4 linked regions of the Macaca fascicularis genome follow. The main gene of each other region encodes a partner of the protein of the gene in region 4 in a complex. Links are inferred from orthologs where the notes say so. Each region holds a gene or a part of one and is shown on either strand. Other genes may lie near its edges.

The links.
Region 1: the proteins of CALCR (region 4) and RAMP1 are in contact, whole or in part, in a cryo-EM structure (PDB 9AUC), measured with the Homo sapiens proteins. The link is inferred for Macaca fascicularis from reciprocal best matches to the Homo sapiens genes CALCR and RAMP1. Residues at the interface, in NP_001158210.1 of Homo sapiens: Arg45, Lys46, Met49, Asp50, Gln52, Tyr53, Tyr56, Asp57, Met59, Gln60, Gln61, Thr75, Trp76, Asp77, Gly78, Asn124, Arg126, Phe235, Leu238, Ile242, Thr246, Val250, Ala251, Gln257, Arg258, Trp261, Tyr262, Leu265, Phe269, Ile276; in NP_005846.1 of Homo sapiens: Trp59, Ile63, Tyr66, Arg67, Ala70, Asp71, Phe83, Trp84, Pro85, Val89, Asp90, Phe93, Leu94, His97, Gly98, Phe101, Ser103, Arg109, Ala110, Val111, Arg112, Asp113, Pro114, Ile118, Leu119, Phe122, Ile123, Pro126, Ile127, Val129.
Region 2: the proteins of CALCR (region 4) and RAMP3 are in contact, whole or in part, in a cryo-EM structure (PDB 8F0K), measured with the Homo sapiens proteins. The link is inferred for Macaca fascicularis from reciprocal best matches to the Homo sapiens genes CALCR and RAMP3. Residues at the interface, in NP_001158210.1 of Homo sapiens: Arg45, Lys46, Met49, Asp50, Gln52, Tyr53, Lys54, Tyr56, Asp57, Met59, Gln60, Arg74, Thr75, Trp76, Asp77, Gly78, Asn124, Arg126, Phe235, Leu238, Ile242, Thr246, Gln257, Arg258, Trp261, Tyr262, Leu264, Leu265, Phe269, Ile276; in NP_005847.1 of Homo sapiens: Cys57, Leu59, Ile63, Tyr66, Glu67, Thr70, Tyr83, Trp84, Pro85, Gln90, Ile93, Thr94, His97, Arg98, Phe101, Ser102, Cys104, Val106, His110, Leu111, Glu112, Asp113, Pro114, Val118, Leu119, Leu122, Ile123, Pro126, Val127, Leu129.
Region 3: the proteins of CALCR (region 4) and RAMP2 are in contact, whole or in part, in a cryo-EM structure (PDB 7TYX), measured with the Homo sapiens proteins. The link is inferred for Macaca fascicularis from reciprocal best matches to the Homo sapiens genes CALCR and RAMP2. Residues at the interface, in NP_001158210.1 of Homo sapiens: Arg45, Lys46, Met48, Met49, Asp50, Gln52, Tyr53, Lys54, Tyr56, Asp57, Met59, Gln60, Trp76, Gly78, Arg126, Phe235, Leu238, Ile242, Thr246, Val250, Glu255, Lys256, Gln257, Arg258, Trp261, Tyr262, Leu264, Leu265, Phe269, Pro273; in NP_005845.2 of Homo sapiens: Trp86, Tyr93, Ser94, Arg97, Asp98, Glu101, Leu109, Pro112, Glu117, Ile120, Phe121, His124, Phe128, Cys131, Pro136, Phe138, Ser139, Asp140, Pro141, Leu146, Met149, Ile150, Pro153, Ile154, Leu156, Ile157, Leu160, Ile161, Leu163, Val164.

What each region holds. Positions count from the first base shown.
Region 1 is NC_088386.1:133,755,936-133,763,370, forward strand, and holds the start of RAMP1 (receptor activity-modifying protein 1), read left to right. Parts: upstream 1-3,310; 5' UTR 3,311-3,363; coding exon 3,364-3,415; intron 3,416-7,435. UniProt on the Homo sapiens protein: Accessory protein that interacts with and modulates the function of G-protein coupled receptors including calcitonin gene-related peptide type 1 receptor (CALCRL) and calcitonin receptor (CALCR). Required for the transport of CALCRL to the plasma membrane.
Region 2 is NC_088377.1:85,175,855-85,183,222, reverse strand, and holds the start of RAMP3 (receptor activity-modifying protein 3), read left to right. Parts: upstream 1-3,243; 5' UTR 3,244-3,281; coding exon 3,282-3,339; intron 3,340-7,368. UniProt on the Homo sapiens protein: Accessory protein that interacts with and modulates the function of G-protein coupled receptors including calcitonin gene-related peptide type 1 receptor (CALCRL), calcitonin receptor (CALCR) and G-protein coupled estrogen receptor 1 (GPER1).
Region 3 is NC_088390.1:63,815,807-63,823,018, forward strand, and holds RAMP2 (receptor activity-modifying protein 2), read left to right. Parts: upstream 1-3,139; 5' UTR 3,140-3,141; coding exon 3,142-3,361; exon of another isoform or gene 3,362-3,610; coding exon of another isoform or gene 3,611-3,707; intron 3,708-4,174; coding exon 4,175-4,240; intron 4,241-4,702; coding exon 4,703-4,811; intron 4,812-4,944; coding exon 4,945-5,200; 3' UTR 5,201-5,387; downstream 5,388-7,212. UniProt on the Homo sapiens protein: Accessory protein that interacts with and modulates the function of G-protein coupled receptors including calcitonin gene-related peptide type 1 receptor (CALCRL) and calcitonin receptor (CALCR). Required for the transport of CALCRL to the plasma membrane.
Region 4 is NC_088377.1:127,837,804-127,844,482, reverse strand, and holds part of CALCR (calcitonin receptor), read right to left. Parts: intron 6,085-6,679; coding exon 5,931-6,084; intron 4,247-5,930; coding exon 4,136-4,246; intron 1-4,135. UniProt on the Homo sapiens protein: G protein-coupled receptor activated by ligand peptides amylin (IAPP), calcitonin (CT/CALCA) and calcitonin gene-related peptide type 1 (CGRP1/CALCA).

The DNA.
Region 1 (7,435 bases), on a different chromosome or scaffold from region 4:
TAACAGGCCATGATCTGGTACTCCTGTGGGGTTGGGGGCCCCTGCTATATACATAATGTCTTCTTTCTCTGGCTGCTTTTAAGATTTTCTCTTTATTACTGGCTTTAGGCAATTTGATCGTGATGTGCTTTCACGTACTTTTCTTCATGATTCTTGTGCTTGGAGTTTGGGGATGTTCTTGGCTCATGGGTTCATAGAAACTGTTCCACATGGTGGTTTTTCACATATTTCCCACCCACCTTCCTCTGGGGCTCCAGTTACACCTTGGAGTTGCCACTTGGAGTTGCCTCATGGCTCTCTGATGCTTTGTCCTTTGATTGTTTTTAAGTTCTGGAATGTAATAGCTACATCATTTGGAAATCATTTGATCCTGTTATTTCTTGCTTTTAAGTTTTGTTAGGCAGCACCAGAATAGCCTTTGTAATTTTTACTGACTACAGAGAGGGCCTTACCCTTCTAATTATGCTCTGATGTTCTGTGTATTTCAAGATTTTTCCACTATGGTTGGTGGGAACTGGAACTATTCCCAGTCAGGTGTGAGCTCTTAGGCTGTTTTCCCTTGGGTAGCGTCCTTAGATGTGTGGGCTGAGACTCAAGTGGGACCCTCTGTGATCTCTCACGTGCATTCTTTGCGCAGCTCTTTCCTCTCTGGTACTACGCCCTGCCAGCGTTAACTGCCTGGCTTCCCCAAACTCTCTTTGGGTTTCCTTTCTCTCTCTGTGGTCTGCAAACTCCAGGCAGTGAGCAGTTCTCGCACTCTATTTGTTACCCTGCTATCAGGGGTCCCTGCACTTCTTGTGGTCCACTGTGACAACCATTGTTTCATACATTTTATCCAGTTTTTTAGTTTAAGATGGGAAGGTAAGTCCAGTCCCTGTAACTTCATCTTGGCTGGAAGCAGGAGTCTTATGTTAATAGTGAATTTTTAGCAGTGTTGACCAGGCTTTGATTGTTATCTTTAGCCCTACTGTGTATGCAGTAAAGCATTTGGCCATTTTCTAATCTCTTCCGTTGTTTAACCTAATGTCCCTCTAGATTGAGGTACCCTGGGAGAGGAATGATTTTCCATGCTACCTATGACAAATTAGAAATACAGATACATTGAGGAATACAGATACATTGAGAAATACAGAACTTTTGAAAAAGGGAAGCCCATAGTAGTTGCTAAGGAATCTCTTACTTAGACCCAAGGTACAGACAGGAAAATCATGAGGAGAGAACCTGCCTCTAGGTGTGTGCCTCACTTCAGCATTCTCCAGAGAACCATGAATTTCTAAAGCACGTGAACTTGAGAAACAGGCTTTGTCTTCTTAGGAAAATGTATCCTTTAGGGAGTGTTGAGAAAATGGCGGTGGCCTCTGGCCCTGCCTCCTTGCAGTCAAGCTTCAAAGAGAAAACGTTGGGAAGACAGACTCCTGCTGAGCCTGATGAAAGAGGCGTCCCAGTTGCCAACCACAAACATGCAGCCGAAGTCCACAAGCTACAGTAGAAAGGGTGGCTCAAGCCAGAGAGTCCCTGGGTATGGAGTGCGGGTGATGGTTGCAGAAAGATGCAGGCTCTTCTCCCCCACTGTGACTGGCTGTCACCTAGTGCAGGATGCACGGTGGCCCTGTCCCAGGGCTGTGCTGGCATCCACCCTTCCCACTAGCTGTGCTGCTCTCACATGGCACGGCCTCTGGCTGCCAGGCCTGTGCTTGGGCCTGCATTCCCCTTGTGCACTTCTCTCCACCCAGCCCTCAGGACTGCCTGGGCTGTATTTTGTCCAGAGTCCTTTGTCTCCTTACTTGCACTGCAGCTGAGGCAAGTGTCCCTTGTTCTGTATGGCTCCTGTATTGTGGCGCTCATGTTATTGAGAGTTTTAGAGGTCACCCCTAGATTCACCAATTGAAGGGCAGGGCTTGTTGATCTAACACTGTCTTGCACATAGGGACACAAATGTCTGTTAAATGAAGAAAGTAGGGAGGCCAGGCCACCCAATGGGGTGTATCTCCTAGGGTTCAAGAAGAGGGGCTAATCAAGTCAAGAGAATGTGTGCCCTCCCCCACCATCTCACCCAGACCCCTCACTCTCAGAACACTTGGGGCCCCCGCGCAGGTGGTAGGCATGCTGGCCCTGAGTGCCCTCTCAGCCTGTGTTAGAAGAACCGGTGGATGACCTCGCTGTCGGCTGTCTCCCCTTCTCTGAGCTTACTGCAGGTGGCAGCAGCCTCTCAGCCACAGACTGTTCCCTTTCCTAGGAGGAAACGTTGGTCACTCAGCAATGCTGTGTGCTTGCAGCTTCCACCACAAAAGAGACAGCTGTGGCTGCAGCACCAGGGTGGTGATTCTTCCCCCTCCAAGGGCAATGGTGCATTCCTTAGCGCAAGTATAAATGTACTGTTGCTAAGAGTTATTGGAACAGGATAATACAAGAAGGAACCATTGCAAGTGAAATCCAGCCACCAGTAATGCCCTGAGAGGCCAGGCCTGTGCCTCCCAGAACCTGCTCCTCCCCAGGCTTCCCCAGCCCATCTCCAGAGCGCCCTTCTCTCACCACTTTACATAAACGAATGTACCCAAGATCCCCCATCAGTTCTCCATGCAGCTGCCAGAGTGACTGCCCCCAAAGCAAACCACGTCTCTAAGGACTCTGGCCAGGCCCTCACAGCCTCCTGCCAGCCTCTTGCTATCCATCAACAGCAAGACCCCTAGGCCATCTCAATCCCCGCAAACAGCTCTGTTCCCTCCAGCCCCACGGCTTCTGTTCACCTGCCGTGCTGTCCCCGCCTCTGCCCACCCACTCATCCTGCAGATCTGGAGCAGCATTCCAGGGCCTGGTAAGTGTGCGCCATTTTGGGTTACTACGAGTCTCGTCAGGCGCGGCGGCGAGTTTTGCCCCCACCGCTCCCCAGAGCCTGCACCTGGGCGGAGAGGTAGATACAGCTGGGAGATCTTAGCCTTTTGCAAGGCAAACACCAGGCAGGAATGCCGAGAACCTCGGAGGAGGAGGAGGGGAAGATCCCCAGGTGGAGACCAAGATGCTGCTCACGCTGAGTCGTCTAGGAGACCCTTCCTAGTTTAAAAAGTGTTTATTTGCTCGGAGAACATTTCAGCAGTCATCCCTCGGAGCCCAAGTGTGCCGCCCCCCGGGAGGGGCCTGGAGACGCCCGCGCGGCCCCCCTGCAAGGTTTTCCCAGCCCTGGGCGTCCCCAGCCCTGGCACCCACCCGGGGAGCCGCAGTGGGCCGGTCCGCGCGGCCGCCGCCTCCCACCGCTCCCGCGCCCGCTCCCGCCCCCGGCGCGTCTCCTCCTGGCCCGCGCGGCGGCGGGCTCAGTCCTCAGCGGGGCGCGTGGCGAGCGGACTCGGCTTGGCACCGCTGTGCACCATGGCCCGGGCCCTGTGCCGTCTCCCGCAGCGCGGCCTCTGGCTGCTCCTGGGTGAGTAGGGCCGGGGGTCCCGGTCGAGCTCCCTTCCCCCGGCCAGCCGGTGTCCTCTAGGGGAGAGGAGGGGAGCGGCGGGGGGACGGGGAGCGGCAGGGGGACGGGGAGCGGCAGGGGGGCGGGGAGGGCGGGCGCCGCGGGCGCACGGATCTGCTGCCCTTGAACGCGAGCCGCCCGGGTTCCAGGCTGGAGGCCCCAGGGCACAGGAGAGGCGGAGGGCGCGGACCGGGGTTGCGCTTCTCGCTGGGGAAGGGACGGCTTTGGGGACGTCGGGGAGCGGGCGTTCTGAAAAGCTTGGGGCAAGTCAGCCCTGCACACTGGAGAACTTGTTTTCAGAAGGAAAAAAAGGACGCGGGGTTCCCCAGCCCCGCTCCTCCGTTTCTCAGGCTGTGCGCCGCGGTGACCGCCAGCGCAGGCTCCCTTCCCTAGGGTCCCGCGTTGCAAAACCTGCAGGCAGGCACCTTGCAGAAGACGCAGTGTTTGGGAATCAGAACCACAGCCCGTTTGTATGGAAATTAGTCAACACTGACAATCTGTCGCATGCAGCAGTTGCTTGTTTGCAAATCATGTCTTTTCGGGACATTTCCATCGCTTTTTTTTCTTTTTTCTTTTGGTTTGCTTGTTAACTTGGCACTTTTGGCTAATAGAAATTTAAAGAAGGACGGGTCCCTTGGTGAAGTGGTGGAACATGTTTGGCTTTCCACTTGGAGGGAGAAGTGGAGATTATCAACAGCCCAATGGCCACAGGAACTGGCCAGACACTCAGCAAGAAACGGTCCTGTTCACTTCCCTTGTCTGTAACGTGTTTCTAAAATGCTAACTCAAGCCCCTTCTAAGCCGCTTTGGTTATTGCATTATTCCGTGTATTTAGCTCCCTTTTAATGGCAACAGAATAGGTTCTTGGCGTGGGAGAACCCAGTGCCCCTGGGAAGGCCGGAGCAGTTGTTTCTGGTATGTGTGGCCTTTCCCCAGAAACAGTGATGTTGGTCAGAGGCACCTGCCGCACAAGACTCCTTGGCACTGGCACTGAGCAAGCAGTGACCACCGGCGCTGTTTTTGTAGCTGGGGGAGCAGTTCGTGGCCCAGCAAGGAGAGGGGCCAGGGCTTCTTGGGAGCCATGGATTTCTGGTCCCTATTTGTAAACCTCTCCAAGGGGTGGCAGATCTGCATAGAATCCTCAGAGGCCAATATAATATAATCTGAAAGCGGGTCTTGCCACTTTAGAGTTTTGGCTGAAGTTGCGTGGAAAGCAAAATCTCAGAGTAATTTTATTCTCTCCATTTGGCTTGACATGGCCTTCACTGTTTTCGTTTCCTAAGAAACAAACATTTCTTTGTTAGCAAGGCAGAGAGCTGGCTTGTGGAATATTTTTTATATAAATAACCAGATAAATAAATGTTCTTTACTAGTGTCCAGAGGCTGCACCCTCTAAAGCTTGTGTAAATAAAACACTATGTCACGATCATATATAAAGACCTTACTTGTTTATCAAGAAAACTAGTCATGTTCTGCCGAAAGTCCAAAGTCCTGTAATTTTAACATTATTTTGAGTGGCCTGGCTAATGTTATGTCTTGGAAGAACAAGCACAACTTTATGAGGTTATCAGTAAATGAATGTCATTGGAGCCCAGCTGTAATTAGTAGAATTACTGAGCACAGGCTGTTTCCTTCCCAAGCTGCAGCACTAGCCAGATCTCCTTGGTGATGAAGATTTTGCTATCCAGAATGGCAACATGGAATTTTTTTTAAAGTACTCTAGTTTACAGGTTTGAGAACTTATCTGTGACAATTTTACAATCAAGTTATTTGTCTTAGGTAGTTATTAAGAATCTCACCATCTGACCAGGCATGGTGGCTCACGCCTGTAATCCTAGCACTTTGGGAGGCTGAGGTGGGTGAATCACCTGAGGTGAGGAATTCCAGACCAGCCTGGCCAACATGGTGAAACCCCGTCTCTACTAAAAATACAAAAAAATTAGCCAGGCGTGGTGGCGGGCGCCTCTAGTCCCAGCTACTTGGGAGGCTGAGGCAGGAGAATCACTTGAACTCAGAAGGCAGAGGTTGCAGTGAGCTGAGATGCCACTGCACTCCAGCCTAAGAGTGAAACTCCGTCTCAGAAAAAAAAAAAAAAAAAAAACTTAGGATCCATATATAGTTCTTTTCCCTCTGAGCATCCTGTGTACTCTTGTGTTTACAGGAGACTCTACATGCATTCTTAAAGGTTTGTGTATAGACACCGAAAAGCTGTTCGTTAATCAGGAAAGAAGGATGCGTCAGAAGCCCCTGGTTTTTTGAGTCCATCTTCACTCAGGGAGTGCTGGCTGGTGCTGTCACACATGAACTCAGTCATCTGTCCTGGGAAACGCATGCCCTCCTTGTCTGTCGTGTAGGAGCTAGGGGTTTTTTAATGGCTGCAACATTAATTGAAATATATGACTTTATATAAATACAAGTAGAATTGGAATGACGGGGACATCACAGGAAATGCTATGTGACTGCTTCAGATGCCATGTGGTTTTAAATCTGGACACAGTTCTCATGCCAAAGTCCAAATCTGAAGGATTCTTATTTGCTAATCAACCCAGTGTGTTTGTTTACCCTGTGTGTTTAGCTGCAGGAGGAAATTTCTGGATTTTTGTCTTCCTTCCATAGGCGCATGCCTGTCAGTGTGCTTATTGCCAGTCTGAGGCCGGGGCTGTTGAGAAACATTTCTATCCGCAGTGCGAATGGTAGATTCAGCTCCGGGAAGTGTTTGAGGTGGAATCTTTACTTAAGGCTAGTTGGAAAAGTCTGTCCTGATTTTTTTCCCCAGAATGCACCCATTTCTTAGCTTCTAATCAGTTACAACTGGCGTCTGGCTGACTGTGTGATGCAGGTGCCGTGTGTAGTGTGAATTCCAGGGGAAATGATGAGCCCAGAGAGTGAAGCCCCTCGGGCTTGCCCGCCAGTGCCCCCACCCCCAACTCAGGCCTAGAACCCCTCTTTCCTGATGGTCCTTGTGGTATGGTGGGCTGGCCCTCAGTGGGCCCTGAGCCAGGCCTGGCCATCCAGATGGTCCCAGGGAGGAGACTGGCCGCAGGCTGGACAGTCAGTGTTCTGCTGGAACCACGGGGAAAAACTGCGTCCTTCCTCCAGGCTGGATCTGAGTGGGGCTGCCACAGTCTACCCTGTGAGTCACGGGAGAGCACCTGTCCATGACACAGACAGAGCCCTCCTGACACCTTTTGAGCCCCTAGATCGAGCTCATGCGGTACACATTTCCATCATGTGACCCATAACGTTTGAGATGGGTGTCTGTCCCTTGCAGGGATGGTGTCTGGTAGACAGCAGGCTCAGGGGGCTCCCAGAATGGCGTACCTGGGGGACTGTGGGAATCCTGCCTAACAGCCTCCTCCTCCACTGGGGACCCAGGGGGGCCTCCTGAAGGAGGAGGCGCTGCAGCCAGGAAGACAGTGGGAGCTGGGAAGGGGACAGGGGAGCCTGGGCTGCAGTGGCCCTGGTGGCTCCAGCACTTGCTGGACCGTGTGCCCACTGCCCCTGCCCATCAGTTTCTTGGTGACAAATGAAGAGGCAGAGATGGTACTGCCAGGGCACTGTCCAGTTCCCAGCCTGCCATACCCCCTGCTTACCTCTGACACATCCCACAGCAGACACACGAAGCCCCGGAGGGATGTCCTTGTCCCCAGCCCTCTCCGCTCCGGAACAGGAGGACCCCCAGCTGGGTGATGTTCCTGGAGGACCTGTTTCTCCTTGTTGAGGAGGGTGCATCAACACGGCCACCATAGGAGAGCTCCCAGCCCAAACAAAATCGTGCTCACTTCACCGAATGATGTTCTTGTGTTCAGGAAAAATATTTTTTTCCTAAGATGTTTTATTTCAGTAATTTCTGCAGCATCCAAAAGGCATCATTTTAACCATCTTTTAAATCACGGGTTCTGGGTGGCTTTGTTGGAGCAGGGTCCACGGGGACACACTAGCCAGACGTGGCAGGGGTGCAGGGCTATGGGCCTGAGTCGC
Region 2 (7,368 bases), about 43 Mb from region 4:
TTGATTTGATGTGTCTTTTATTGCAATTAAACAAATGAGCAAACAAACGCAACAGAAGATGGAAGGCTGTGTCTCGATCCGTGGGAAGGTGGAAAACAGCTGATGGTCAGAGACACTCCTTCCTGGAATCACCTTCATCTCCCCTTCTTTGAAGATAGGTCCTCTGTGTCCCTGGAGAGGGGTCACCGAGGCATTTCTGCTGCGTCGGAGACAGAGGCGCCTCATCGACGATGATACCGTTATTTCAGTGTCTGTCCAGCAGGGGGAGCAAGGTGTCCGGGAATGGCTCCCCTTGGCGCCTTCTCAAGCTCGACCCTCCCGAGGTCTAGCCCCAGGACAAGCAGAGCCAAATCCCAAACCTCACCTGGTTCTGTGCTCAGGCCCTCGCCTGGACACGTGGACACTGGGCAGAAGCATTAATTCCAGGGACAGTGAAGGCCGAGCGGCCATGTGTTCCTCTGATCTGGTAGAAGCACCAGGATGTTGTTTCTTCCTCTTAGAAGAGGCCACTTGAGTGTCAAGAAAATGTTCTCTTACAACTATTTAAGAGTAAAAGGAATCACAGAGTAAATATCAGGATAATGGTGAATCAGGACTTGATCAGGAGAGAGACTACACTGCAATCTGAATGGGTAAATTTGGTATAAAGAATTATGAACCGGCCGGGCACGGTGGCTCACGCCTGTAATCCCAGCACTGTGGGAGGCCAAGGCAGGAGGATCACCTGAGGTTGGGAGTTCATGACTAGCCTGACCAACATGGAGAAACCCCGTCTCTACTAAAAATTCAAAAATTAGCTGGTGTGGTGGCACAAGCCTGTAATCCCAGCTATTCAGGGGGCTGAGGCAAGAGAATTTCTTGAGCCCCGGAGGCGGAGGTTGCGGTGAGCCAAGATCATGCCATTGCACTCCAGCCTGGGCAATAAGAACGAATCTCCTTCTCAAAAATAAATAAATAAACAAATAAATAAAAAATACAAAATTAAAAAAATAAAGAATTATGAACCATAAGAGGCGATTCCTGAGAGGACCCCAGTGCTCACAGGATCACAGGCATAGAGAATGGTGCCAGGGCCAGCACCCACCGAGGGACAAGCAGGGAGACAGGTGTTGTCCAGGGTACACCTCATGGTCAGTCTCATTTTTGGTGGCAGCCCTTCCACTCGCAGGGTCGGGGGGATGCACTGTGGAAGGGGTAGGTCCCCCTCTCCCAATGCTCAGCTCCTCACAGCCTGTGTTAAACCCACCTGCCCTGCAGAGGCCATGGGCAGCACTGGGCAGAAAGGAGAAGTGAGGGCCCTGTCTTAGAGGGACATAGAGGACAGTAGACACAACTCCCTGGGAGTTTGTCAGGGCATGGTTGGTTCCTTGGAGAAGAGGTGTTGGAACCAACTCTGCAGGATGGCCAGGGCTTCCCCACTGCAGAGTCAGAGTGGGGAGTCCAGGAAAGGGAGCATTGCTCCCTGGTGCAGGCTTGGGGGAACTGGCTGCCCCCGCTCCCACCTGACGACCCCATCCTCCTGTTCCAGCCTGTAAGCTGTGTGCAACTGCCTTTGGGGCTGTGGGACTGAGTGGGGACTAAGACTCTCCTGGAGAGAGCTATAAGGCCGAGTCTGTGTGGGATGTGGGTGGACACCCGGGCCCGGACCGTCCTCTTGGTTTGTCGTGGCTGGTGTAGGGTATGTGTGTGTGTGAGCCAGACCCCTGCTGCCCTGGTCGGCTTGTTTTGTGGCCCCTGCCTGTGGGCACCAGCAGTCTCACTGGAGGCTCTGTGGCCACCCCTGCACCTGCTGCCCACCCCTCAGGCAGAAGGCAGGACAAATGATCAATTTTAATTAGTTTTGACTCCTTTGAATTAATTCTGGCTGCAATCAGAATTTCTTCAGTAAAAAAGCACAGAAAGTTCTGCTCCCAAATAAGGGTCTTGTTAAATAAAGTGGGTCTTTCTAAGCCAGGAGAAGGTCAGCTCAGCTCCTGGGAAGGTAGCAGTACCTACGGCTCAGAGGAGTGGAGGGCCCATCCGTGTGGGAGCCTGGGCCTGTGCTCCAACCTCAGACCAGCATGCGCCCCCAGGGGTGGTGGGTGGGCCCTGGAGGGCAGAGAGGGGCCTCTAGCTGGCTCTCGGAAGTCCTGGCCAGTGACAATTCTGCAGACACCATCAAGTGTCCACTGGAGCCAGGGCCTGTGCTAGGGGCTGAGGATGACAGAGGCGACCCATCTGGCTAAGTGACCTGTGGCTGGAGAAACTGAGGCCTTCCTTCCCCTCAGGAACCCTGACACTCTCCGAGGCCAGGTCTTTGGGGGCGCCAGATACTCTTGTCCCTCGGTTTGCTTGTGGCTTGGTCCTTGATGTGTGATATATCTCTGTGTGTAGCTGCCACATCCTCCAGTCTCTCTCATACACACTGTTTCCCAAGCACACACTCACAAACACACCTTGTCTCAGACTCAAACTCACACATGCCACACACACACCATACATCACACACTCCATGCACACACATGCATCTACACATACTCCACATGCACATCACACACATATTCCATGAACACCACACACACACACACACACACACACACACACACACCCCAACCTCCTTCATGCACTTTCCTGACCCTTGGAGACCTGGCTCCTAGATGTGTCTCTGCTCAAAGGTCCCCTCCCTGCCTGGGGGCAGCTCTGGACTCTGGTCTACTTTCGGCCAGGGCACACCTAGCCCACCCCCAGGTCCACCTTCCTCCAGTCTACCCGCAGCCTCCTCTAGGCCATCATCAGTCCGCGCTTCATCCACACCTCAGCTCCCTCCCCGGTCTACCCCCACACTCTGCCCCCAGCCTGGACGGAAGTTCCCCAAGTCCTTCCAGCCTGCAGCCCAGCCTACCATCAGCCGGCCCCCACTCTCACTCCAGCTCACCTCCCAGCCTGCCCCTGCAGTCTGCTCCCAAAACGCTCCTTTGCAGCTCAGCACCCCAGTCCCGCCCTCAGAGCCGGCACCCCACCTTACCCCAGCTAGTCCCCAGCTCGAAACCCAGCCCTCACCCCACTCTCACCCCCGCTGAGATTCCAGCCCAGACTCCAGCCGCCCCCTGTCCCTCCCACCCGGCGCGCCTGCAAGGCCTGCACCCCACATCTGGAGGTAACGGGCACGGCTGGAGGCGTGGTCTGGGGGGTGCGGCCTGGGGGCGGACTCCCTGAGGCCCCGCCCCACCCCAATCCCATCCGGGCGTCCCCGGTTGCACCCCCAGCCGGACCAAGCGTGACCCAGCCGCGGCCGGCCAGCCATGGAGACTGGAGCGCGGCGGCGCCCGCAACTTCTCCCGCTGCTGCTGCTGCTCTGCGGTAAGGGGGCGTCGACCCGCACCGGAGGCGCCCCCACTTCCCGGAGTTCATCGGACCCGCGTGGACCCGCGCCTTCCTGCACCTGCGCCGCAGTCCTTCCTTTCCCCCTGAGCTCGGGAGGGGCGCACAGCGACCCTGGCGGGCTCCCCAGGCTCTGCGGGAGGGTTCACCCGGGAGAAGCTGAAGGCAAAGAACTCTGGCGGGCAAGGGAGGCACAGGGTCCCCTCCGGGCTCTTCTGCCGGCGGGGTCCGGCAGTCCCCGCTCCTCCTAGTTGTGATGTCCCCCCACGCCCCAGTTCTGGGGTCGCCTCAGGGTGGGCGAGAGAGGAGGCGGACCAGGCCTGGCTCTTTCCCCCTTCCCCCTAGGATGGGTTGTCGGTGAGGTAGTGAGCTCCCTGTCCTGGCATTGAGTGCCTGCCCACCACTCACAGGGGCGTGGGCGGGTGGACTCCGGACTGCGTAGCTGGTCCTAGCAGGGCCCTTCAGTGTGTGGACGCTTGTGTGTGTCTTGGAACTGGCTGACAGGGGAAGCGGGGCGACTCTCTGAGCCATCCTCTCCTAATGTCTTCTTCCGCAATAAATCAGGACTCTGGGGAGAACCGTTGCTCACAAAATGGAAACAGATTAAACTAAAAGCTTATTTTGAACTACCTTACTAAAGAAATTATCCAAGAGAAAGTGAGAGAGAGAGAGAGAGAGAGAGAGGAGGGGGGGGGAGAGAGAGAGAGAGAGAGAGAGAGAATGTGTGTAAGGGCTGTTGGGGAAGAGTGCTTGCTGAGGGCTGGAGTACACTAAGTGGCGACTGAGCCTGGCCAGTTCTGGGGGGACACTGGTGAGGGAGGGCCCTGGTCTGGTGGTCCCCAGTTTCCCTGACTGTAAGATGCAGCGTTGGGCCTGTTTTGATGATTTGGGATTTGGTAAGGGAGGTGGGAAAAGGGTGGACCAAACTCAGTGTTCATTTTCCTTCCATTGAAGAGGTCTTGGTGTGCAGAACATGTGTGGCTTCATTTGGTGTTCCAGGGCTGGAGCCTAGGACGTGGTTCATTTTGTGTTGAAGTGCAAAGGTGCGTGGCAGCTTCTGAAATCAGGAACATGCTGATTTGGGATTTCAGCAAACTTCCAGTGAGCTCCCCTCAGGTGGAGATCTTGGTCACTATAATGGAAGGAAGGTCCTCTGAATTCATTCTGGGAGAAGCTGAGGCTTTCCTAACCATCTCCAGTATGGAATTGAGAAGGACCACAGGCTTCCGCCTGCACAGAATCCCTCCTCTTAATAATCCTGTCTCTTGTGGACCCAGTTCCTGAGGGTCACTTCTTTGTCTTGTTGTGTTGGTCCTGACTGTCCCCCTCCAATGGGACATGGGTTCATGCTCCCTGGCCAGAATGGGGACCAGGCCCAGCTTCTCAGCAGACCCTCCCAGTGTTTGCCTGGCCAGAGTGAGATTCAGAGAGAGGTAAAACTTGCTCATGGTTCCAGGCTGATGTGTCAGAGGTGGGACTGGAGCCCACATCTGCCCTGGATGCTGCTGTATCTGGAAGGAAGGAGCTGGGTGGGTTCCTCTTGAGTGAGGACTGGCTCAGGGGGACCAGCAGGGAGGGTGCTGACCTCTGGGGCTTCTTTGAGAATTCCAAACCTTTTTCCAGAAAGCATTTGATGCTGTGCAGGGCTGTGGGGATGCAAAGTCCAGCAGTTGTCTACTCAGCAGGATGCTTTGCTGTTTTCTATTTTGATTCAGTTCCTGCGACTTTTACTAATGCAGCCAGTAGTCCAGCCCTTGACTGGACTCTTTTGGTCTGGGTGAAAATCCCGATCATGATCCCAAGATTACAAAGCACTCACTGGCCTCAGTTTCCCAGCTGCAATGTAGATGTAATAGTAGCAACCTGCAAAGGGCTGCTGAGACCGTCAGTTTGATTCCATTCAGTTTAGTCTTTATCGTCTTGTGTTGGGCATGGGATTGTGGGGTGGAAGGATTCATGCTTAAACAAGGGGAGGTGTAGGAAGGCACCCACCAGTGACTGCACTGGGCCTCATGAGGCTCACTCACAGCACCCAAAGATGGAGCACCATAGTGTGTGTGCCTGTGTGTGCAAGCATGGTACCACCATTTTTATCACTAAATGATGTCCTGCTACCATGTTACCTGTGGTCACATTGATTCTGCTGAATCAAGTGGGCCCAAGGGCCGTGGTTGGATAGCAGTAACTCTGGTGAATTAAAGACTTGGAGGTGGCAGGCCGGGGGCAGTGGCTCACGCCTGTAATCTCAGCACTTTGGGAGGCCGAGCAGATCACGAGGTCAGGAGTTTGAGACCATCCTGGCCAACATGGTGAAACCCCATCTCTACTAAAAATACAAAAAATTAGCTGGGTGTGGTGATGCATGCCTGTAGTCTCAGCTACTCGGGAGGCTGAGACAGGGGAATCACTTGAACCTGGGAGGCGGAGATTGCAGTGAGCCGAGATTGTGCCATTGCACTCCAGCCTGGTGACAAAGCGAGATTCTGTCAAAAAAAAAAAAAAAAAAAAAAAAAAAAAAAAGAAGACTTGATGGTGGTGATTGGCCAAGAAGAGGCCCATAGATTTTTGGCACTGGAGGTTCCTTGGAGGTTATCTGACCTCCATGCTCTTACCTACTCTTCATAAGGAAACAGAAGTCTGGAGGGTTGAGAGGAAGTTGCCCAACCACAGAGAACAGGGGCAGAACCACCCAGAATCCACAGCCTCCCAAGGTCGACTGACCATGGCCCATGGCAGCCACTTGCCAGTCTGATCGATGCTCTTTCTGTTAAGGATGGGGAGAGCGCCTGCGTTTCATTTCCAAATGACTAGCCACAAAAGCCCTTTCTCGCGGAAGTGCATCTGTTTGGCTGTTTATCATCTCTCGGCGTCTGGAAGTCCCTGAGACAAAAGAAACACAGGCCGGCATGTTCTTTGTCTCCCAATGAAACCAACCAAAATGGATTTCTATTTTGATTCAGTTCCTGTGACCTTTACTAATGCAGCCAGTAGCTTGATTGGCAATGACCCTCTTTTGTGGTGTTGCCAGGAATCTGTCTTTACACCATTGTTCTAACATTGGGTGGGTTGTCAGGTTTTGCTGGGAGCCCCTCAAGCCTCATGTGCACTAGAAATGAGCTTCCTGGGAGGACACTTGGTCTCTCAGGGTGCCTGCCTTGTGCAGGCCCAGGGCTGGCGCTGTCACAGGCATCCTCATAGCACCTCCATGGGCAGAGAAGTTATCTCAGAACACCTGCCTGAGGATGGCCTGTGGTCCTCAAAGGCACATTTACAATCTGCCCAGGCCAGGTCCTTGCCATGGGGCATGTGGAGGTTCTGGGGTATGCAGAGATTTGGGGCATGCAGAGATTCAGGGAGGGGCATGTTGTCAGGGACCCCTCCTTCTCTTTAGATAGCTATGCCACCTGGGTGCGTGTTTGTAGAGTCCTGGGGGAGGGGCTGGGCAATGCCCTGGCACTGGGGGTGGTGTGGAATTGATGCTATCTTTGCCTGGCTCAGAGGGGGAGATCAGGGGCTCAGGGAGAATAATAGTTGCCAGAGGGTAATGGATACTTACCAGGACCTTGTCCCAGAGCTGTGTTTCAGAGCATCATGGTTAATGTGAAAATGCGGCAGATGCAGGCCCTGTATAGGGAGGTGGGCTGTAGGAACAGCCACAACTTGGGCTGGCTGCGGCAAATACCTGCTAGGAATGGGCTTGGGGGGAGAAGGCAGTGGTTCAGATTCGTTCTAACTTCCAGGATGAGGAGGAAGGAAGGAGGGGAGAGGAAACAGGGGATGGAGAGGAGGGTAAAGAGGACGGGGGAAGGAGGAAGAAAGAAAGAAGGGGAAGGAGAGGGAGGCGGAGGAGGAAGAAGAACTGGGCTGGGTCTTGGTCTGATAGGTGACAGTCAGAGCACGCTGAGGGGGCACCAGGCCAAGGGGTCCAGGTCTAGGGGTTCAGATTCAGACCTAGGGGTCCAGGTGGACCAGGCTGCAGGTGTGGGCGCTGGCCAGGAGGGACAGGGT
Region 3 (7,212 bases), on a different chromosome or scaffold from region 4:
CCAAAGTGTTGGGTTTACAGGTGTGAGACACTGTGCCTGGCTTCTTTATTATTATTACTATTATTATTTTAGACAGAGTCTCGCTATATTACCCAGGTTAGTCTCCAATTCCTGGGCTCAAGTTCCTGCTTCAGGCTCCCAAGTAACTGGGACTACAGGCATGAGCTGAGTACCCAGCAAGAGTGTTACGTTTTTTAAAAGTCACTGAGGCTGGGAACAGTGGCTTATGCCTGTAATCCCAGCATTTTAGGAGGCCAAGACAAGTGGATCCCTTGAGGTCAGGAGTTCAAGACAAACCTGGTCAACCTGGTGAAACCCTGTCTCTACTAAAACACAAAAATTAGCTGGATGTGGTGGCGTGCACCTGTAATCCCAGCTGCTCAGGAGGCTAAGGCAGGAGAATGACCTAACCTGGGAAGTGAAGTTTGCAGTGAGCCGAGATTGCACTACTGCACTCCAGTCTGGGCAACAGAGCGAGACTCCATCTCAAGAAAAAAAAAAAGTCACTGAACAATAGGAGTATAAAATCCCATTTATGCTTTTCTTTAAAAAAAATCCAAAATATGTGGGAAATGAGATAGGAGTGGGGACACAAAGTTTTCTGGGTTATATATTTTGCAACTAGTATATACTTATATATTACTTGCGATTTAAAAAGTGTATTTTTTAATAGCAAAAACAGAAAGGGGCTTAGAAAGGGAAGGTGAGGGCCCTCAGCAGTGGAAAACAGGGGACTTCCCATGACAAAACCAGCTTCTGTTTCTTATACAGCCCTTCCTCCACCCATTGCTACAGATCATCAGATCGTGGGACTATCCCCTATGGCTACATGGAAAAGAAAGGTGAGGTCTCCTGTCCCTATTCATCTCCAAAGACCCCCAAAGTAAACCCTCAGTTACCAGGATGCTCTCAGAGGTCAATAAAAACATTCAAACATCCAACTGGCACGGAAAAGTGGAAGAGGAAAATCAAAACGAGAGAAAATTCCCAGATTCTCCAACTAGACAGTTTGGACACCCGAGCTCAGAAATGACTATAATAAGCTCTCCTTCGGAGGTCTCAACATCATGATGCAAACTTAACCCCAATCCTAGTCTAAAAATAAAACTTCCTGAGGGCCAGGTGCGGTGGCTCATGCCTGGAATCCCAATACTTTAGGAGACTGAGGCAGGAAGATCGCTTGAAGCCAGGAGTTCGAGAGCAGCCTCGGCAACAAAGCAAGACCCCATATCTACAAAAAATAAGCCTGTTGTCCTAGCTACTTGGGAGACTGAAGCAGGAGGATCTCTTGAGCCCAGAAGCTCAAGACTGCAGCGTGCCATGATTCTTCCACTGCACTCCAGTGTGGGCAACAGAGTGAGCCTCTACTCCTAAAAAGTAAGATAAAAATAAAATAGGAACTTCCTACCAAGTTACCTATATTTTCTTTTTTGATCTAAAGGCCATTTTACATATGAAAATCTTGAGCTCCAGAGATGTGAAATAACCTGCCCAAGTTACTTGCGGTAAGACAGAGGCAGAACCTACCTTCAGAATCCCCATCATTTTTAAATTTTATCCATTATCATTATCCATTATCATTATGCCATATTGTCCTTTTTTTTTTTTTTTTTTTTTTTTTTTTTGAGACAGGGCACAATCACAGCTCTCTGCAGCCTCGACCTCTGGGGCTCAAGTGATCCTCCTGCCTCAGCCTCCCGAGTAGCTGGGACTACAGGTGCATATCACTATGCCAGGCTAATTTAAAATTATTATTATTTTTTTTTTGTAGAGACAAGGCTTCACTATGATGCCCAGGCTCTATTTTAAATCTAACATTTGCTTTTGTCCCCTTTAATCTTGACCCCAACCCCAGTCCTAACCCATAGTGGGCTCATGTGCTTCTGGCCCCAACCCAGTGAAAATGGCTTGTTTTGCTTTCTGCACCTCCTTGCTCCCTCCTCCCATCTTATCACCCAGAAATCTACCATGTTTCCTTCTTGAAAGGAGCAATCCTAGGCAGGCAGGAAGGACTAGATTTGGTCCCAGCCTGAAACGTCTTGGAGACTGCCTGGCTCCTTTCTGAATCATTATAGAAATGATCCTTACCAGGAGGACTTTGGAGTTCACGTCAAGCAGGCCATTGACTCTCTCCCACTGGATTCCTTGCAAAAGCAGCCTCTTGACCATAGAGGAGGACAACAGGTTATCTGTGCCCATGATCCAAGAGCTTGAGATCCTGAGATGAAGACTTCAAGAGAGATCATGACAGATAATTTGTGGTGGGCAGTAAACTGGGACAACAGCAGCAGCTGAGTCCAAAGGTCAGTGTCTGGGAGTAATTTAGGAAAGTTTGGTGCTGACAGCTGTGTCTGGGACTTGAACATCATGGCCAAACCAGCTCTTGGGTTCCTCAGCTGCCTCAGAGTAATGAACCTCTGGCCCAGGACACAAGAGGCAACTGTGGTGTGGCCAAAGTCAGGGCCCCTGGAGGCCCAGGCTCAGCCTTGCTGCTTCCTTAACGGTGTGACCTTAGATAAGTCACTTAGGAAAAGAGGAAAGGAAACTAGCATTTAGCGAGTGCAGTGCCCTTTCACAGCTGCCATCGTCACTGTTTGGTGAGGAAGCGAATGTCCCTATTTTACACGAGAAGTCCTAAAGGTAAATGTGTCATTCAAGGCCCTATATCTGGGGAGTAGGAAGGCAGAATTAGAACCCAGAGCCTCTGAATTCAAATCCCGGGCTGTTGGCCCTGAGCTTTAGTTTCTTGGTCTGTAAAATGGTGATACACTCACCAGGCACATGAAGTGGCACACTGAAGGTTCTAAAACCCCTCCCTTCTTTCTCCCAACCGTGGTCCTGAAGAACTGTGGCACCTTCTTCCTGGGAACGTAGCCATCGTATTTTGTCCCCCCCACAACAGGTTTGTGGGGTCTAGGCCCCAGGAGGTATCTGAAGGGAGGGTATTTGGACTTTGTTTTCCCCTCTACCCCACTCCGCAGACCTTTTCCCGACTCCGGAGGGCCGGCTCCCGCTTCTCCTCCCTGGTTTTGGCTGGTGGGCTGACATCAGCGGGTGTTCCTAGGGATAGGATAAGGAACCCTGAGCTGCCCGGCTCAGCTCCAGGCGCCCCTTGCCCCACAACCCAAGACAGCCCTTTAGATGCAGCGGCGTCGAGAGGCCGCTGGAGCTCCCAGCCTCCTCCCTGTTCTCCAGGTCTGGGAGAGCAGCTTGCCGACCCCTACAGACCCGAAAGAGAGAGAGCGCGACTTGAATCCAGGGAGCGATCCTGGGAGACCCTGGAGAGTCCTGGGCGCCACGCAGCCGAGCCCCCGAAATAGATCCCGGTTCCGGGGTTCCGGGAGCTGTCCAGCCTCGCGGGGTGAGCTACGAGAGGGTGGGCCAACGCCGGCGAAGCGGAGGGAGCCGCGGGCGCCAGGCGCGGGTGCGGCAGCTACTCCCCCTCCAGCCTCTGGCCCCGGGCGTCGCCCCCGCCCCCCACGTGGCCGCCGCCGTCCCAGCCCCTCCGAGGAAGCGGCGCGGCTTCCTGCAGCTTGGGCTGGGGATATAGGCGCCCCCACACCCGGGCCCGGCTCAGCGCAGCCGCCGCTCCTCGCCTCCTAGCTGCACGATGGCCTGGCTCCGGGTGGAGCGCGCCGGCGGCCCGCGGCTCCCTAGGACCCGCGCCGGGCGGCCGGCAGCGCTCCGCCTCCTCCTCCTGCTGGGCGGTGAGCGCGGCGCCCCGAGGCCCGGGAGGGAGGCGCGGGAGGCCCCGGAGGGGAGAGGGGAGAGGGGCTGGATGGCCGAGGCCGGAACGGGCCCGGGGTCCGGGTGCGGACCGACGGACCGAGCAGCACTGGCCTTCGGACGGTCCCTGACCCCACCTCGGGGAGGGCGCAGCACGAGCTGCTTCCCACCCGGGGAAAGCTGGGGTGCCGGCCCCGGCCCTGCGGAGAGGGCTTCGGAGGACAGGAGCTGGCCAGAGGTGAGGGGGCTTTGGGCCTGGGTGTGAGTGACTAGGAGCTGGTGCCAGCCCCTCCCTCCCCGGCACTGAGGCGTCCGTGGGGGCTAGATTATTCCTCCTTTTCTTCCAAGGTAGCCCTGTTTACGGAGGGTCTCAGTCCCCCAACCCCGTCGCAGGCTCCACTACCTGGGTCCCCGCTATGCTACCCTCCTCTCCCGTTTCTTCCCACAGCTGTCCTGAAGCCCCATGAGGCCCTGGCTCAGCCTCTTCCCACCACAGGCACAACGGGGTCAGAAGGTGGGTACCCGGGGTGTGGAAGGGTGGCCGAGGGCAAGGACGACAGCAAGTTCAGTGGGGAGGGTCCCTTTCCCACAAGGCCTGCCCCACCCCAGCTGATGCCCCACTAAACTCCCCTCTGTTCTCTCTTGGGGTTCCTTGCAGTCTTTCTCCCTGTCCTCTCACGTGCAGGTCGGCCCCTGCGCGGCTCTGAGCTGCCCACCTCACAAGTGGGCTAGAAGACCCCAGGAAAAGGTGTACGTGGAAGTTCTTATCAGGCTGGGATGGAAAGTGCTTAGCACATGGAAGTCATTACATGATTCCTGAGCTGGGACTCTGTCCTCCGCCAGAATGTCTTGCTAGGGAAACTTTCTGAAGGGTTCCCACGTTTGAAGACAGGCAGTTCACCTTGCAAGCACCTGGGCAGGAGGGTTTGGAGGGAGGGGCAGGGGTGTGGTCATTGTTCAGCATCTGTACCTACAGGGGTGACGGTGAAGAACTATGAGACAGCTGTCCAATGTTGCTGGAATCATTATAAGGATCAAATGGATTCTATCGAAAAGGATTGGTGCGACTGGGCCATGATTAGCAGGTAGGGGCAGTGCTGGAGGGTGGCTCAGGCCAGGGGGTGGGCCTGCTCATTGCAGGTAGACCTTGAGTGAGTGTGGGGCACTCTTCTCCCTGGGCCCACCCCCTCCCTCACTCAAGTCCTCTTCTGCCCCTAGGCCTTACAGCACCCTGCGAGAATGCCTGGAGCACTTTGCGGAGTTGTTTGACCTGGGCTTCCCCAATCCCTTGGCAGAGAGGATCATCTTTGAGACTCACCAGATCCACTTTGCCAACTGCTCCCTGGTGCAGCCCACCTTCTCTGACCCCCCAGAGGATGTACTCCTGGCCATGATCATAGCCCCCATCTGCCTCATCCCCTTCCTTATCACTCTTGTAGTATGGAGGAGTAAAGACAGTGAGGCCCAGGCCTAGGGAGCCACGAGCTTCTCTATAACCACCTTACTCCACTTCCCCACACCAACCAGGCCTCCCTCCTCCCCTCTTACTCCCTTTTCTCACTCTCTTCCCCACCACAGATCCCTGGATTGCTGGGAATGGAAGCCGGGTGGGGTAATGGCACAAGTTCTGTAATCTTCAAAATAAAACTTTTTTTGTACAATGTCCTTCTTCCCATTTCAGTGGAACCTGTGTCCTTCCCTGCCACTCCCATAGGCCCTCAGCTCTGGGTAGTAGAACTGGAAAAATCTGGATGGCCCATTGTTCTGTTCATTTCACCTGCCCCCCTGCTCCCTGCCTCCATGAAGGTCACACCCCTATATTCTTTCCTCCCAGGCGGGCCTTTCCTGTCCTTATCCAAACTCAGCTCCAGGAAACAAGCAGGAAGAGACTCCCTTCCGGTCTGGACAGCAGCTGGGGGCCTGCAACTGAGGAGGTGTGGGGGAAGGGGCAAAGGAAAAATCTGTGCTTGTGACTCCTGCAAGAGGAGCAGGAGGCTGCCCAGGAGCCCTGACTATTCCCCTTCTTCATGCCTCAGTTTACTCCCAGGGCCTGGGAAGAGGAACCCTGACTGAGCAACAGGAATCCATTCCTAAGGACCTCACAAATGTGGGAGAAAGCAGTGGGGGCTTCCTTTACTAGGTTCACAACCCCCCTCCACCTCCCTTGCCCTCATCCTACATTGTCCTGGACTGGGTGTGGCCTACAGCCTAGCAACACACTGCCCCCTGGTGTCCGCTAAAGCCAGCAATCAGGAGACCTATGTGATCTGGAAGAAGCTCAAGGCTGAGGAGCACTGGACCCTGGGGTCAGAAAACCGCCATCTCCACAGCAAACAGTTCCTTGTGTGTTTGTTTTTTGAAACAAAGTCTCACTCTGTCACCCAGGCTGGAGTGCAGTGGCACAAACATGGCTCACTGCAGCCTCGACCTCCTGGGCTCAAGGATCCTCCCACCTCAGACTTCCAAGTAGCTGGGACCACAGGCGTGTGCCACCATGCCCAGCTAATTTTTTTTTTTTTTTTTTTTTTTTGAGATGGAGTCTCACTCTGTTGCCCAGGCTGGAGTGCAGTGGCGCAATCTTGGCTCACTGCAAGCTCTGCCTCCCGGGTTCACGCCATTCTCCTGCCTCAGCCTCCTGAGTAGCTGGGACTACAGGCGCCCGCCACCACGCCCAGCTAATTTTTTTGTATTTTTAGTGGAGACGGGGTTTCACCATGTCAGCCAGGATGGTCTCGATCTCCTGACCTCGTGATCCACCTGCCTCAGCCTCCCAAAGTGCTGGGATTACAGGCGTGAGCCACTGTGCCCAGCCCACCCTGAGCCTCTTCAGGGACTTTCCTTCTTGTTGAAATATCTGCCTCCTTGAGTACATGCATGTCCATTTCTTGGGGCATCCTGCCTTTTCCATATATACTTGTATGCTTCCTGGAACATGCCTATTCATTCTCTGAGACACACATCTCTCAGGGCACATCTGTTTTTCTAGGCACACATATGTTCCCTAAAAATATTTTGAGTTTTCTGACTGGGCGCAGTGGCTCACACCTGTAATCCCAGCACTTAGGGAGACCGAGGCTGGTGGATCACCTGAAGTCAGGAATTCGAAACCAGCTTAACCAATATGGTGAAACCCGTCTCTACAACATATATAAAAATTAGCCGGGTGTTGGGGCGTGTGCCTGTAGTCCCAGCTACTTAGGAGGCTGAGATAGGAGAATCGCTTCAACCTGGGAGGCAGAGGTTGCAGTGGGCTGAGATCGCACCACTGCACTCCAGCCTGGGTGATGGAGTGAGATTCCGTCTCAAAAAAAAAAAAAAGTATATATATTTTGAGTTTTCACCTGAAATACAGGTTTGCTTTATTTCTATGAATGCATCTGTCTTCCCTAAAGGTATCTACTCCCTTTGTGGCATGTATTTGCCTTCATGCATTTTATTAATGTACATCAAAGACCTGCTGGTATAAGACATTGTGTGCGCAGTGGC
Region 4 (6,679 bases):
CTTCCCATTTTATATATAAGTAAATTTCCCTTCCATAACTAGCATCCAGTAAGGTCAGGCATCAAATCCGAGTCTACTTCATTCCAAATCTATTGCAGAGCTATTAAGCACTAATTAAGCCACTTATTTCTGTGGCAATGTGCCAACTGATCAGAGGAAACAAAACAGGTAAGCCCTTATTGTTAAGATGCAGATGTAGGTGAGAAAATAAGACGATGTAAATGGCACCTGGAAACTGGATTTGGCATAGAAATAAAAGATAACACTGGTTTGGCCCCCCACTTTTTTTTTTTTTTTTTAAATTGATGCTTAGCAAAGAGGAGGAAAGCCTGGCATCTTACTGTCCCTCCAACCAGCAGGTCAATGATTCTGGGGTTGCTCACTGAGGTTAAGAGTTCCGCTTACACTAAAATATTTTGGAGGAAAAGGACAAGAAGATTTTGTTTGGGCCCTGAGAAAGAACCTTCCAAGTGCTTGCTTTGTGGTGTCTGCTGGTTCTCATCAGGCTTATTGTTTTTTCAATTATTTTTGTGTGATATGTTCAGTGCTGGTTACAATATGATAAAGCCTTGGTGCTTTTTGAATTTTAATTTTTTAGCCAGTGTATATGTATCAGTACAAAGTAAAGTTCCAAATTTGATAGAAATAATAAGTTCTCATGGGGATGACTCATAATATCTTTGCTGAAATTCATACTAAAATATTAGGCCATGATAGCAATTTTCATAATTTTTTAAAATAATATTTGATAACTTATCATTACCAGACCCTACATCAAGTGCTCTATCTTAGAAATAAATAAGAAAACTTCTTTGTTCTGTATGTTGCTTAAATTATTAACTGAGTATATATCTGAGATTCTGGGTTAAGTGCATGAGGCTGGGAAATCACAATATATATTGGGAGTAAAGAGTGGTCAGAATGGTGAGATAATATTTATCAAGACATTATTATCAGCAGGATAAACACACTGTGAAACTAGTATATTGTTAGCAAACAACTAAAGTGGCACTTAACTAAAATTAGAATTTAGCTGGATTGTATTATAATACCGGTCAACAATATTTTAATTTCGTACTGGGACTCTAGAAGGTGAAATCTCATAAATGATCAAGGTTATCTATATTCCATTCCAGTGACCTAAAGAATTTTAGATAATGTTGTTGGCTACAAGATAATATTTAAATTCTAACCTCTGAATTGGCCAAGCAACTGAAAGAAAAAATCAGGTTGAATTAAATAACATAGAAATAATGAACAAGCAAATATTAAAATGAATGTACTTGCCAAATTTAATCTCAATCATTCAGATATTCTCTAGTTCTTCAAAGCACCTATGTGATGTGTTTATTGTCTGAGAAATCAAATAGCAAGCCTAGATTGGTATAATATGCAGGGAGATTTTGCAAGTGTATTTGGAATCTTCACAAAATTTTAATCTTTGATAATTTCTCAGGGAAAATATTTTTGAAGCATTTTCCTATGTTAACAAAGGCAAAGCATTGCTGTACCTATAGATAATGCTTTTATAGATGGTTATTTTCTTTTTTAGCACAGGATGTGGAAGTCAGAATCATATGGTAATATTTGAAGAACATTGCTATTGTTTTAAAGGCTAAGGAAAAAACATACTGAAAAAAAGGGAACCTTATTTGGCTGAAAAATCACTGAGATCTGATAATATTTAAAACAATTTTCTGCTAGTAGGTTTGGTTACTCAATCTGCTAAGAGCTAGTACAAAAATCCTTTTTCCTTGGCAGTTTTTAGGTGTAATTCATCATTTTTTATTGTATGACTGAAACAGATATTATTTTACTAAATGCAAGATTTAAACTGCAGGTTATAGAGTTATTTGTATGTTTAATTTTTATTTAAAATGTATGAAAAAATATTTTTTCAAGCAAAAGATGTTTTCAAGCAACCTATTAGAATCATTACTGCTTCATGTAAATCCGTTACAAAGTTAAATAAGAAAACTTATAACTGTAAATTTACTGAGATAGCCACCAGACAAACCCTATTTAAAGCATCTCTATTGGACATTAACAACGTGTGAAAAAGGATTAGCACCGATCAGCACAAAAAATTGATGTTGAAAATTTGTCAATTATTTTGCTAACATTATTTGTCAATGACCAACCCTTCCAAGTTTACTTGCGATTTTTAAAAGTGGCCACATTTTATATTTATCAGATTGCCGAAAGTAGTTTTTTTAAAATAAAATGAATATAATTTGGTTTCAATGAAGTTATGTAGCTGGATATGGGAAAATATATTGTATGCAGAGAGATGCTACTCTTAAAGGTCATTCCATTCATGAACGAGGCTATAGGAAACGGTATTTTTTGTTTTGTTTTAACTTAAGTCTGGATCGAGTCATTTCTTGGTTTTAACTGTTACAACTATCCAGAATTTGTTCTCCTTCACCTGATGAGTCTTTCAATATTTGAAGAAAGGATTATGTTTACTCTGGGTCTTCCCTTTACAAACCAAACATCCTCCATTACTCACTCCCCACAGCTTGTCCGCTCACAGCCTGGAGACTCTCCACATGTGCTTTGATGATTGATATTTCTCTCTAAAATACTCTATGTGTGGACTGACCTGTGAAAAGTACGATGTGCTTCTCTTACTCCAGATTCACATGGGGGAACTACTTGAAGATTCTGAGGTCCTGTCCCTAGAGATTCAAATTCTATTGATCTGGACAGGGTCAGGCATCTGCATTTTTTAAAAGCTCACCATTTTTTTTTCATTTTGTGAAAGGGCATCTGGGTTGAGAATCACTGTCCCAAACCATATTTGGACCATCTTGGCTCTGTGCCATTAAAGTTGTTTGTTTGGCTTCAAGTGTGGGGCTGTAAATGCTTTCTTGTTAAATTTTGCTTTTTACATTCCCGCATATTCCTTCAGAATGTCAGCCTCTTTTGAATTTCAATACAGTTCTTTCACTATCTGTCTTTTACCAAGGACTTTTTCCAAAGTGAAACCTCTGGCATTTCATTAATGTGTTTTTGTGTGTGTGTGTGTGTGTCTGTGTGTGTGTGTGTGTATTTATAATTTAAGTTTGGAATATATGTATATATTTCAGACACATTTTAAAGTGAATTTGTCCTGCAGCTGAGAGGTTTCTGTATAAGAACCAGGCTGAAAAGATGGATCAATGCCTGGAAATCTCTGATTTGTTGATCAAAATCTTGCCTTGTAGTCAATATTTATATCCACTTTGGCAAGAGCCGCATTGTTACTTTGGAACTGGCCTAGTATCCTCAACTGCACAACAGCTCTTTGTGCCAATCAAGTTACTTCTAATGTAGTTGTCAAATAAAGATTAATGAAGCATCATTCATTGGGAAGAGTCAATAAGGTCCTGAAGGATTATCATCAAATAGCATTTAGTTAGAGATTCCAGGAATGTAGCCGATTTAGCGCACAGCACAAAGCCCTTTCTTTCTTCACATCCCAACTTTTCCATCACAATGGGAATTCCCAGAAGTGGCTAGCCTGCACTGGTTTTAAAAGAGGTCCTCTGCAATCCCACTTACATTATCTCTGCCTTACTGAGGTGAAATTTTGTTTTCAGGGACAAATTAGATCTTTTACTCTTGAAGGAAGCACAAAAAGCATTTTTCAAACATTGTTTCAGGGGTAGATTCATTTTTCTTCTTTAATTGGGATTCTAAAGCCACTTAACCCCTGTAGGCTCAGGCTCACTTTACTCTCAGGAACAAATTTCACCCATTAACAACCTATATGTTGTGCCCATAGGTAATCCATTTAGTTTCAGCATCTGGGTCTCCTTCATAATTAAGATTTCTACCCCCTTTTCAGTGAGACAATTGAAAAATGTTTAAAACTCACATTTAAATAAAACTATTCACAGAGTTTTAGAAAAGCTATGTTTATAAACCAGAATTTAATACCAACACATATAACTGACCAGCAATATGCCTTAAAAAAAGGACAGCTTGTAATATTTGTACAACTAAGCAGTATTTCAATTAAGGAAACGCTTCAGAAGCTGCTGAAATGTGGAGTATGATTAGGTAGGTACATTTTGTATCGGATTTTCTTCTTAAAACCATGAAAACTCTAATTCATAGCAAAAGCATAAAATGAAAATAAGCACTCTACCTGATGGATCAAAATCTGGAAAATAATCTGGGCAGAACTGATAGGACAGTACTCCAGCCGGTGTGTCATCCCAGCACAGCCATCCATCCCAGGTGCGATTGCAATATGGACCTGGCCATTTAGAAGGAAATTAATATTGAAGCCTTGTGGATTTAACTAAATGAGAAGATTGATCTCAAGACAGTATTACATGGAGCTGGGCTCACTACACCAGTCATAACCACCTACTTTTCAAACGAGCCAAAGTCATTGATTTTGGAAATACAGTTTCAAATAGCCTTAGCATATCTGTGACCAAATTATCTCATTGGATGACAAGCAGGGCTCTATTTCTACTTTGTAAAAGGTTCCAAAGTTGAGCTTATCAAAAAAGCAAATGCCCCAAAGACTGCAAGACCCTCTCTCTCTCAACAAAACAAAACAAAACAAAACAAACAAACAAACAAACAAAAACCTACACAAAACCATGAAGATTTACCTCTATAAAGGTGTGTATTCAAAAGAATCAGATTCAGGCTTTCAAGAAAGCTCTCAAAAATTATTTAAAAAATGAAAAGAGTTCTCAGAAAACCCCCGAAAATATCAGTACTGTGTTTTTATTGTCTCATTGGCTTCAACGAAATTGTTTCTCCTTCGGTCAGAGTTATATCTAATGCCTGTTCAGTTCTTGATAAACACTGAAATTACTGCAGACAGAAGAATAACATGTATCTGCCTTTCAGTTGACTTGATGTTTTTGTTTAAAGGAAAATGCTAAAAATAAGAACTACAAACTAAAACTTGAACTATTTGAAAGCAAAGAATGTGCAGTAACAGAGTATATTTAACCATTTTTTTCCTACCAAGTTGGCTTGTCTTAAAATGTACCTGGTAGTAGACCAGACACAGTGTCTCACACCTGTAATCCTAGCACTTTGGGAGGCTTTCTTGAGCCCAGGAGTTGGAGACCAGCATGGACAACATGCTCTACAAAAAAAAATACATGCTCTACAAAAAAATACAAAAATTTGCCAGGCATGGTGGTATGCACCTGTAGTCCCAACTGCTCAGGAGGCTAAAGTGGGAGGATCGTTCTGGGTGAGAGAGGGAGATCCTGTCTCAAATATATATGAGATTGTAAAAGATCTTATTAAATCTTTTCAAATGCCTCAGGGGACAAATAGGAAAATTTAAAGGGATGTTGCAATGAGCTTGCCCATCACATCTCCCCTTTTGCTTTCTATGGGTCCTCTACAGCTAATAGAATATGTTTAGACTGGAAAATATCTGGGCAGTCACATACAGCCATTCTGGAGAAGCTGGTAGATAAGCAATGTCTGGCTAAGAGGTATCATTTTGTAATTCTCCTGGAAAGTGGGGCCAGAAAGTGTGGAAGAATAGTATGGGTTGCCAACCAGTTGACAGTTAAAGGGAAGATACTACCTAATTAATCCAAGCAAGATAGGGTTTGATAGCATCCACCTCAGTCAAATTCTCTGCCCATTATTTTCCAATTCCCTTTCCTGTCATTTTCTACATCCCCTTCCCCACTCGGTCCGGTATTGTTCCTGCTCCCCAGGTGTGAATACTGAATTATTGCAGTCATTTTATCATGAGGGCAGATGTTAGTCAAACTGCAGTCAGATGAACTTGGGCAAAGAAATTAGGCATATGCACTGCGTGAAATACACAAACATACCATAGTGTGAAAACTGCTGGCATATTAAATTAAAATTATTCAACACATATTTAACCACAAAAGAAAATGTCTTTAATGGTGTTTCAAACATACGTTCATATATATCCTTCTCTTTACCTTCTCCTTGGTATGGGGGTAACTGCTGCATCCGGTCATAGCATTTGTACTGTGCATCCATCATCTTCTTTCGTCCTACGATGTAAAGAAATGGCTCGGGCTCTATTGTTGGATAGGTTTGATTTGAAAAGGCAGGAAGAATTGGGATTGGGTGCTGTATTAAAAAGAAAAATCAGTTACTTATAGATAGGAGGAATGGGTGAGCACAAACAAATGAGACAACGAAAAAATTTGAAAACATTTGTTTTTGCTCTCTAAGCAATATTTATTCATGGTCTCTATGTACAATATTTTTTCGTATATATAACTAAAAATGTTTTTACATTTCATCTACAAATTCTACCTGCACATTTTATATTTGCATTTACTATTGAAAATTGATAACACCTACACACACTCATACACCTCTTTATCAGCTAGAATTGTTTTAACTGTATTATGATTCTAAAGTTTAGAAGTAAACAAAACAAATAATCTAATTCCCAAAAAATAAAATATTAAATCAACTTTGCCTTACTCTGAAGAATCATGAATCATGTTATTAAAAATAGACATAGTTCAATAAATATGCTTTTTTATTTGATTCTTTCAGCTAAATTTTATTGGTGCTGTGTACACTGTTAGAAATTTATCCCATCTATTCCATGGAACAAACAAAATATGTTTTATGCTCCTCATAATTGACCATAATCTCCTTAAATTGGTTTCAACAGCAGATGACCTGTACAGGGCAATTTATTTTCACTAAT